Linked DNA regions of Xenopus tropicalis. Each later gene encodes a partner of the first gene's protein in a complex. Links are inferred from orthologs where the notes say so. Each region holds a gene or a part of one and is shown on either strand. Other genes may lie near its edges.

Region 1 (4,194 bases):
GTTGGTACATTAGGAAAGTGCCAATATGTTAAGCACCCCCCTCCCCCCAGTGTATCAAATCATAAACTTTTTTACCCCCAGAAGAGTCCCCTAGTTCAGTAAAATTGCACTATTCCTGTATCTTACTCACTAAGCGAAGTCATCTTTGTAAAATTTAACAAGGCTTCCATGCAGTCATCTAGACTTGTACATGAGAACTATAGGAAATGTTTTCTTAAAAGGACAAGGAAAAGCTAAGTCACTTGAGGGTGCCAAAATGTTAGGCACCCCCAAGTGACTTTAATCGCTTACCTTGTACCCCGTGCTGGTGCCCCTGTTAGGAGAAAACAGCACCAGTACCTGTAGCGAGCGCTTCCTCCTTCCTGCTTCGTTTTGCCGGGACCCCACGACCGGTGCATGCGCAGTAGAGTGAAAAGCAGACTTTTATGTTAACGTTCAGCTTTTCACTCTATTGCACATGCATGCGCGAAGGAGGAAGCGCTGCAGCTACCCCGGGCTGGAGCTGTTCTCTCCGAACAGGGGCACCAGCCCAGGGTAAAAGGTAGGCGATTTAAGTCACTTGGGGCACCCCCAAGTGACTTTGCCTTTCCTTGTCCTTTAAGTGTCCATGAAAAAACCCAAAGGCCTGAGAAAAAACACAAGAGAGTTGGAAATACTACAGAGATGGAGATGCGCCACTTTAGGAGTTTGATAATTCTACTGCTGGTCCTGTTCAGTAAAAAAAAAAAAAAAAAAAAAAAATGTTCTTAAAAAGAGGTAACAACTTTATACACTGGGATTATTTAATCTTTCCTTGTCCTTTCAATAAGGTGGACTACAAAATATATTAACATGTTGCATAGTTTCTGAACTCTGATTCATAGACTCCCATCAAGATCTTAGATGGTACTCAAGCGAGCATTTAATTATTTAGGTATTGCAATATAAACTGAAGCATACTAGTAAATTAGCTATTATACCAAATTAAAATGACATTAAACTATGTGCACTATTCCCAAAACTGTATGATCTGGAAATCATATCTGCAAGATGTATCTATAGGTAATTTAATAAGAAAAATACGATTGGACCAAATTAATTAATATTGTAAAGTACATTAAAACGTCAACTAAAAAAAACTTACATGCTTACTAAAGCATGTACATGAGACATTACACTGACAGCTATGAATAGTAAAATGTGGTCATTTTACCGACTAGTGATTTAAGGATGATGTCCTTGCAGAAGTCAGGATCTACGTATTTAATACAACGTACATTTGTATCTACTGCGGTGGTTACCAAATTGGGGGATTGGTTACACCAATGGCACAAAAAATTCATATAATCATTGTTCAAGAGGAAACAAGGGCAGCATGAAAGGTAACGTCATCTGACCAAAATAATTGATCTGGCGGATTAAGAGACATACATTCACAGTTCCAACTACATATTTTTTGGTGTGCAGGTCTGGACTTGGATTTAAAAATTGCTGTGGCATTTCAAGTTCTGAGAGGCCCAAACAGCCTTCCACCAGCCCATTAGATAGTGACTGTCTATGGCGGGGGTGCCCAAAAGGTAGATCGCGGTAGATCAATTTTAAGTATTTGGTATACCTCAAGGTGGAATACAGTGGGATGACATCCCGCCACTTCTTTCCCCCCCCCCCCCATCATACTTTTGAGTGCAACTGCTCAAGCTATTCGTCTTTGTTGTTTCATCCCAGTATAGAAGATTGTCCCCACCAGGCCGCTGTATATATTTGTTCCCACTTTATATTTGTTTCTGTGTGCAGCCAACAAAGTGGGCCACGAAGAAAGGAAGTAAAAACTACTACAATCCTTTCAAATTAAACTTGAAGTTGGCACTTGAATAATATTATGTGGGCATTAAATGTGAATTTGTCACTGCATTTATATATTTCTGTGTATATTTGTTAAACACCAATTGATACTTTTTCTTGCCTGTTGCGCCAAATGATAGACGTCGCCCTATTTTAACTGTGGTAGATCTCATGATGGAGGCCAGGTGGCAAGTGTAGATCACAGGGTGACTAAGGGGTATGTTTATCATGTTGTGTAAAAAGTGGAGTAAAGCATTACTGGTGATCTTACCCAGAGCAACCAATCAGCAATTAGAGTTTAACAGTTAGAAAATCAAATCAAAGCATCTGATTGGCTGCTATATACAACATCACCGGTGATGTTTTAATCCACTTTTTGCACAGCATGATAAATATACCCCAAAGTCTGGGTACCCCTACTCTATGGCATCTTGCTGCAGTCCCTCTGGCATTTAACAAAATTCACAGAATGACAGTCTAGGCCTGTTGGTGAGTAAAACAGAAGTATCACCCTGAATAAAGAGTTAATATCAGGAGGAAATAATTTTGGACCCAGGTAATTTGTTTTGCAGAAAATATTAAATTCATTCAGTAATGGCTTTAGCACGGCAGCTCCCATGGATATCAATTTAAATAGTAAATAAATTATTCTGCAAAATAGACATGCAGACTTACATTTTAAGGCCATTAATTCGTTTAAATACTCCTCACACGAATAAACAAAATAAAGAGCATTTTTAGCCATAAGAATAACAAATATCGCATCTATTAGTCGTTTCGGCACATTATCGGCATTTTACAGGCACTTACTGATAGTACCTCACATTATCTGTTTTCTAAAATTCCCTTCCCTTGTAACTTGCTTGATCTCCAGACCCAATTATACCCACGCCGCCAGTAAATTGTTCTTCTCACGCTGCAATCATTTAATTATTGCCAAAAACATCGAGCGTCCCCAACAGCCAAGATCGTATTTGGGTGTATGTGCAGTATCTCTATAAATTAAGTTAAAAGTCTGATCCTTTTGCAAGTTCAAATACCTGAGAAGTGGGTTACACGGCCTGTCGTGTGCGGTGCGTGCGACTGGAGGGCGAAGTGAAGGAGACACTGAGGCTGTCAGCAGCAAGCCCCGCCTAAGCACTCCGCCTTTTAGTCTTCCTAGGTTTTGCCTGCGCCTTTGTACGGTTACGGTCCCTGACATATACATATAGCTTTTAGCTTTTAGTTTTTAAACAAACTTGTTAGCATTAGAAATGTTAAGGATGTATTAGTGGTAATGACGACATGATGAAAACGTGAGCGTTATTTGGAACAGGCACAGTAAGCACCCTCATTTACCGCCCTTGGTATTGTAGAGGGCATGGGATGGACTGACGCATGCGCATAGCTTCTCTGGGTGACCTTAAAGGAGGAACCGGTGGGTGGCGTAAAGTTTGGGTTTTTATTGTTATTTTTTACTACGTACGTCATAAATTCAGCAAGTACAGTTGTAGTGGTAGAATAAACCTCTGATATTTCCAGAAAAAATAATTTCTACTTGTCGTCATTTTTTTATCCAGTTCACCAACTCTGTAACATGAGCATTCCCTCACTATCTGTATATTCAGAGGTGACCAATTCCATTGTGCTGAGGTCTGTATACTTGAGAACGCTTCATTTTCTAATAGTGTGTGTTTCTTCGAGAATGTCTGTAATTGTTTGTCATATTTGTGATTGGTATGTTGTTGTTTGTACGTCATGTAAAATGAGCTATGCAAAAAATGCATCTGTCTTTGTTAAGAACGTTTTAGCAAAAACATATTTATCTGGTCCGGTTTTATATTGGCATTAAAGGTTGAACTCAATGGGCGTGTGTCTTTTTTGTCAGCCTATGTTACTACAGTGAGCTAATACATACATGCACACCTGCTCTGACTAACCCCGCTAACCTGACTAACCTGGGTGAGGGGGTGGTGGTGTCCAGGGGCGATTCTGGACATATCGCCGCCTGAGGCGGCTCCTGGATGCCGCCCCCGCTCCCCAGCGCTTACCTTCTGAGCGCAGGAGCGGGTCCGGGGGCGGTGAGATCGCTAGTGCAGAGAGTGTGTTTAAAAACCTGGAAATTCAGCTCTTAAAGTTACCAGGAGCGGCTTTTTGCCGCCCCTGGTAACTGGGGCGCTTCTGCCGCCTGAGGCGAGTTTCTCAACTCGCTTAATGGCAGAAGCGCCGCTGGTGGTGTCACTGGTCACCTGTTTAAAAGCAAACATCTTATTGGTTGCTATCAGTTACTGCTCCTAGGTGGGACATAGAGACCCCAAAATGAATACAGTGAATATGAATTTTGTTAAAGGAGAAAGAAATGTAAAAACTAAGTAAGCTATATCACATGGTCTA
Region 2 (3,851 bases), on another chromosome or scaffold:
CTTTCTTACATTTTTCTATGTTTTTTCTTCTTCAAGCATTTCAGCTCTTATACTACTTTTCGTCTCTTAAACTTTTTGTCCTTATTTCACACTGTCATCTCTGCTAGTGGATCACCCACCTTTCCTCACTTCTTTGTTTTTCTCTACATACTCTCCCTTTCTGTTTTTCCCAATCACCATATTTTTCTGCCAAAGACTTTCTCTTACCCATTCCCATAAAGGTGAGTGCAGTAGAGCCGGGCCCCCCTTAAGAGCCAAAACTCACGGGGCCCGGGACGATTGTCCCCCCTGTACCCCACTGATGGCGGCCCTGGGATAGAATGTGGTCATTCCACAGTTCTGTTCCTGCTAAAGAAAGCAATGTGCAAAGATAATGCTAGGAGGGCTCCCTATGCCGGAGGCTTCCAATTATAGAGACTACCTGCAAAGAGAATCAACTTCTGAATTGTCAATATTAAACTGTTGCAGAAGACAGGATTGTTTTGAATCCTCTCTTTTCAGAAAAGGTTAAAAAAAAGTGTAAGTTGCAAAAATAGCAGCCTTTAGTACCCTTTTGACTTTCACAATTAGCTCACACATTCATGACAAGTCTGTGAAAAAAAAACTTTACTACTTAGTTCATCTTACATAACAGCCCATGTACACTTTTAAGTTTCTTTTTTGACAAAAGCCAGTAACATTCTACATAAAAAGAATGGTCAGTTCTCAAACAGTCACAGGCAAAACAAAAGCTGGAAAAACCTCAGTCTAATGGATGTGAAAAATATATTAAGTTCACTTTTTGTAAAACACTATCCATAATTTGTTGTTGTCCAGGCAGGTCCCACTCTTCAATAAGCTTCATTTGTGGAGCTCTTCAGTTCATTGTTTCATATACTGTCCAGTTTCTTCAAGACAAATGGAGCTGTAGATATGGATTAAAGAAAATAAAATCGAAATCAATTTCTCTGCAGGGAATCTCATGTTACCTTAACACCCTTAGTACAAAGAAGATACAGAAGGGTTGACAAAGCAGTATAGCCTTCACTAAATTAGCAGTATTAGTTTTATATGGCTGACATATGCAGCAAAGCATATAACTGCACTATGCATATTATAATACTATAACATTATAGAGCTGATAATTGTAAGTAGAACAAACCCTTGTTTTCATAATTGATATTAAATGTTTTTATTAAAATAATATATACACACAGGTATAGGACCCATAATCCAGAATGCTCGGGACCAAGGGTATTCCGGAAAAGGGGTCTTTCCGTAATTTGGATCTCCATACCTTAAGTCTACTAAAAAATCAATAAAACATTATTTAACCCCAATAGAATTGTTTTGCATCCAATAAGGATTATTTATATCTTAGTTGGGATCAATTACAAGGTAAAGTTTTATTACTACAGAAAAAAAGGAAATCAGTTTTAAAATTCTGAATTATTTGATTAAAATGGAGTCTATGAGAGACGGTCTTTCCGTAATTCGGAGCTTTCTGGATAACGGGTTTCCGGATAAGGGGTCCGATACCTATATATATATATATATATATATATATATATATATATATATATATATATATATATATATAAATAAATCTAAGCTGCAAGGGATGGCGAATAAAAAAATTCCAGTGATAATAAAAATAAGTGATACAGGTCCTTACACTTAATGCTCAAGTTATGGACCTATGTGGGACTAGGGGACTGCACATGCATCCTGATACACAGTTCCACCACATTGACCAGTACCTGCTTTTAACCTCTGACCCAGTACCTGGGGCTTTACCTTATGCCACACCCTGTGTAAGGCATAGGACATGTATCTAGGACATACAGTGTATAGTATAAGGGCCCTATAAAACCACTCTCAGTGCCAATATAAACCATTTGGTTATGATACACAAAAGAGCTCTTTCCTTGGTAAAATGTAAACTGATTTATATATTTTCTGCCAAGCGCTAAAGTAAACGTCAGACGCAAGCAGCATGCTAACATCCCGCCACCCTTACTCACTGATTCTCAGAACTGCTATGTATATAAGAAAATTTCGAACTGAGGTCAGCACGTCTTGCCGCATCTTTTTCCTCAGCTCCTCTGGATCACACTTCGACCCAAGGGTTTCCAGACGGAACATCGTGTGATGGAAAAGCACAAGAGCGATCAGATGCAGGTATAGGAATATTGCAGGACTGGATACAACATGCGCATCCCCGGAAATAGGGGTCGCACTAGCTGGAGGTCACTCGTTGAAATCCCGGAAAATGACAAATCGTATAGGCGCACGAAATACGCGTCATACGGGCACCGCCGAGGGTCAATATTCTTGCGAAGTTTATTTTCGTGATGTAGTTACAAGCATAGCAAAACGAATTGTTTCGTGTGGGGACTGTGGACTGGTCTAAAAACAATAGTGCTGTAGGGCGGACACTCAAAAATGCACGAATATTCATTATTATGCTTATATCTGTCTGACCTTACACACTCATATTTATCTAAAGCTTTGAGACTTAAGGTTTACTACTTAATTACACTTTGCCATTTCCTTAGTGTTGGAATTGCCTATGCATTTTGTGTAAAAAGTAACACAAATCGTATTATATTAGTAGAAGTAGGAAAATATGGACAATTGATCTTATGTGCCACCCAAAAAGTTCTCTGTTCTCCTAAAAGAACTAACGTGAAATGTGATTTGTCCACGTCTGACAGACAAATGCCAATGATATTTTGGTTAAAGTCAGTGCTGATCTTTATAACCATGGCAAAGTGAGAAATGTGGTTGAAGTTGTGTCAAAGTAATATTTTCATACAACTTTATAAATTGACAGTAGGATAGCTGGATTATTTTGTGGTCTGGAAGCTTAAAACAATTCTGACACTTTGTTCTTTATTTGTTGGGCCAACACACTTTCTCTGAGCATTCCTGCCTTCACAGACTCAATTAAACCACTTAAAGTGGTAGCGTCAGGCTACTTAATTGCACTTCAATAAATTTGTAAGAACAGCGCCACTAAGCCGCATTCAATTGTCAGATTTTCAATAAATTCATTGGTGGAGAACATAATCAGTAATAAAAAACAATTCATTTATTAAACATATTAAAAATATAAAAAAAATATTATCAAGGATTTCATATCCAGTAATGAAACAATTCATTCAAAATAAAACCATTTGCCCAGGTGGTGAAATATCCTATGGTGCATATATTAATTCATTCAATTTCTTATACCATTAGTTCCGGATGTCCATCAAACAATGTTTACTCTGTCAATTAGATGTACACATAGATCTCACCCATTATTATCCGGTATCTTATTCATGTTTGAGTTCTCAGCAAAATTGGTTGTAAAAGTAATTACACCATAAATAACAATAAGGGGCTCATGCGCATTATCAAATGAGTAGGTGGCTTTTCGTTTCAGTTCAACGTGCGATCACCAAGTCAAGTTCAATCGGAACTTCACTTATAATCCATACACTGTTGCTTGTATTATGCACCCAACCTGGAAACATGCAACATCTTCTCCTTCGCCTGTAGAACCACTGCTGCGATCTTGGCAATCTCTCTCTATAAAAGCTGAAGACAAGAGGGTTGACTAAACCTTCTGGCTCAAACCAGCCCCCAGGTCAAGAATGGCAACAGTGCACGGGAGTGCCAGCCTTTGAAAAATATGACCAGAGGTAAATAGATAGGACCACCATACGGGGTTTACCTTGATGTGGTATGGTGGCTTACCAATCTTATGATCATAATTTTGTAACTAAAAACCCCTGTTTTTGTAAATATATGCACTAGCATAGATAATTTACTTATGAAACAGGGGACCAGGAAATGTGCATTGATCAATCCCCCCTCTCTTTTTT

What was found. Proteins that work in one complex are often made in the same cells at the same time.
Region 2: the proteins of vdac2 (region 1) and tomm5 are in contact, whole or in part, in a cryo-EM structure (PDB 9EII), measured with the Homo sapiens proteins. The link is inferred for Xenopus tropicalis from reciprocal best matches to the Homo sapiens genes VDAC2 and TOMM5. Residues at the interface, in NP_001171752.1 of Homo sapiens: Val38, Thr60, Gly63, Asp239, Tyr258, Gln260, Thr261, Leu262, Leu268, Leu270, Val286, Leu288; in NP_001001790.1 of Homo sapiens: Ile25, Arg29, Leu32, Ile33, Ala36, Arg39, Val40, Phe43, Ile44, Lys47.

Annotation. Positions count from the first base shown.
Region 1 is NC_030683.2:54,956,506-54,960,699, forward strand, and holds the start of vdac2 (voltage-dependent anion-selective channel protein 2), read right to left. Parts: upstream 2,879-4,194; 5' UTR 2,862-2,878; intron 1-2,861. UniProt on the Homo sapiens protein: Non-selective voltage-gated ion channel that mediates the transport of anions and cations through the mitochondrion outer membrane and plasma membrane.
Region 2 is NC_030677.2:108,996,930-109,000,780, reverse strand, and holds tomm5 (mitochondrial import receptor subunit TOM5 homolog), read right to left. Parts: upstream 2,644-3,851; 5' UTR 2,125-2,643; coding exon 2,004-2,124; intron 905-2,003; coding exon 870-904; 3' UTR 590-869; downstream 1-589.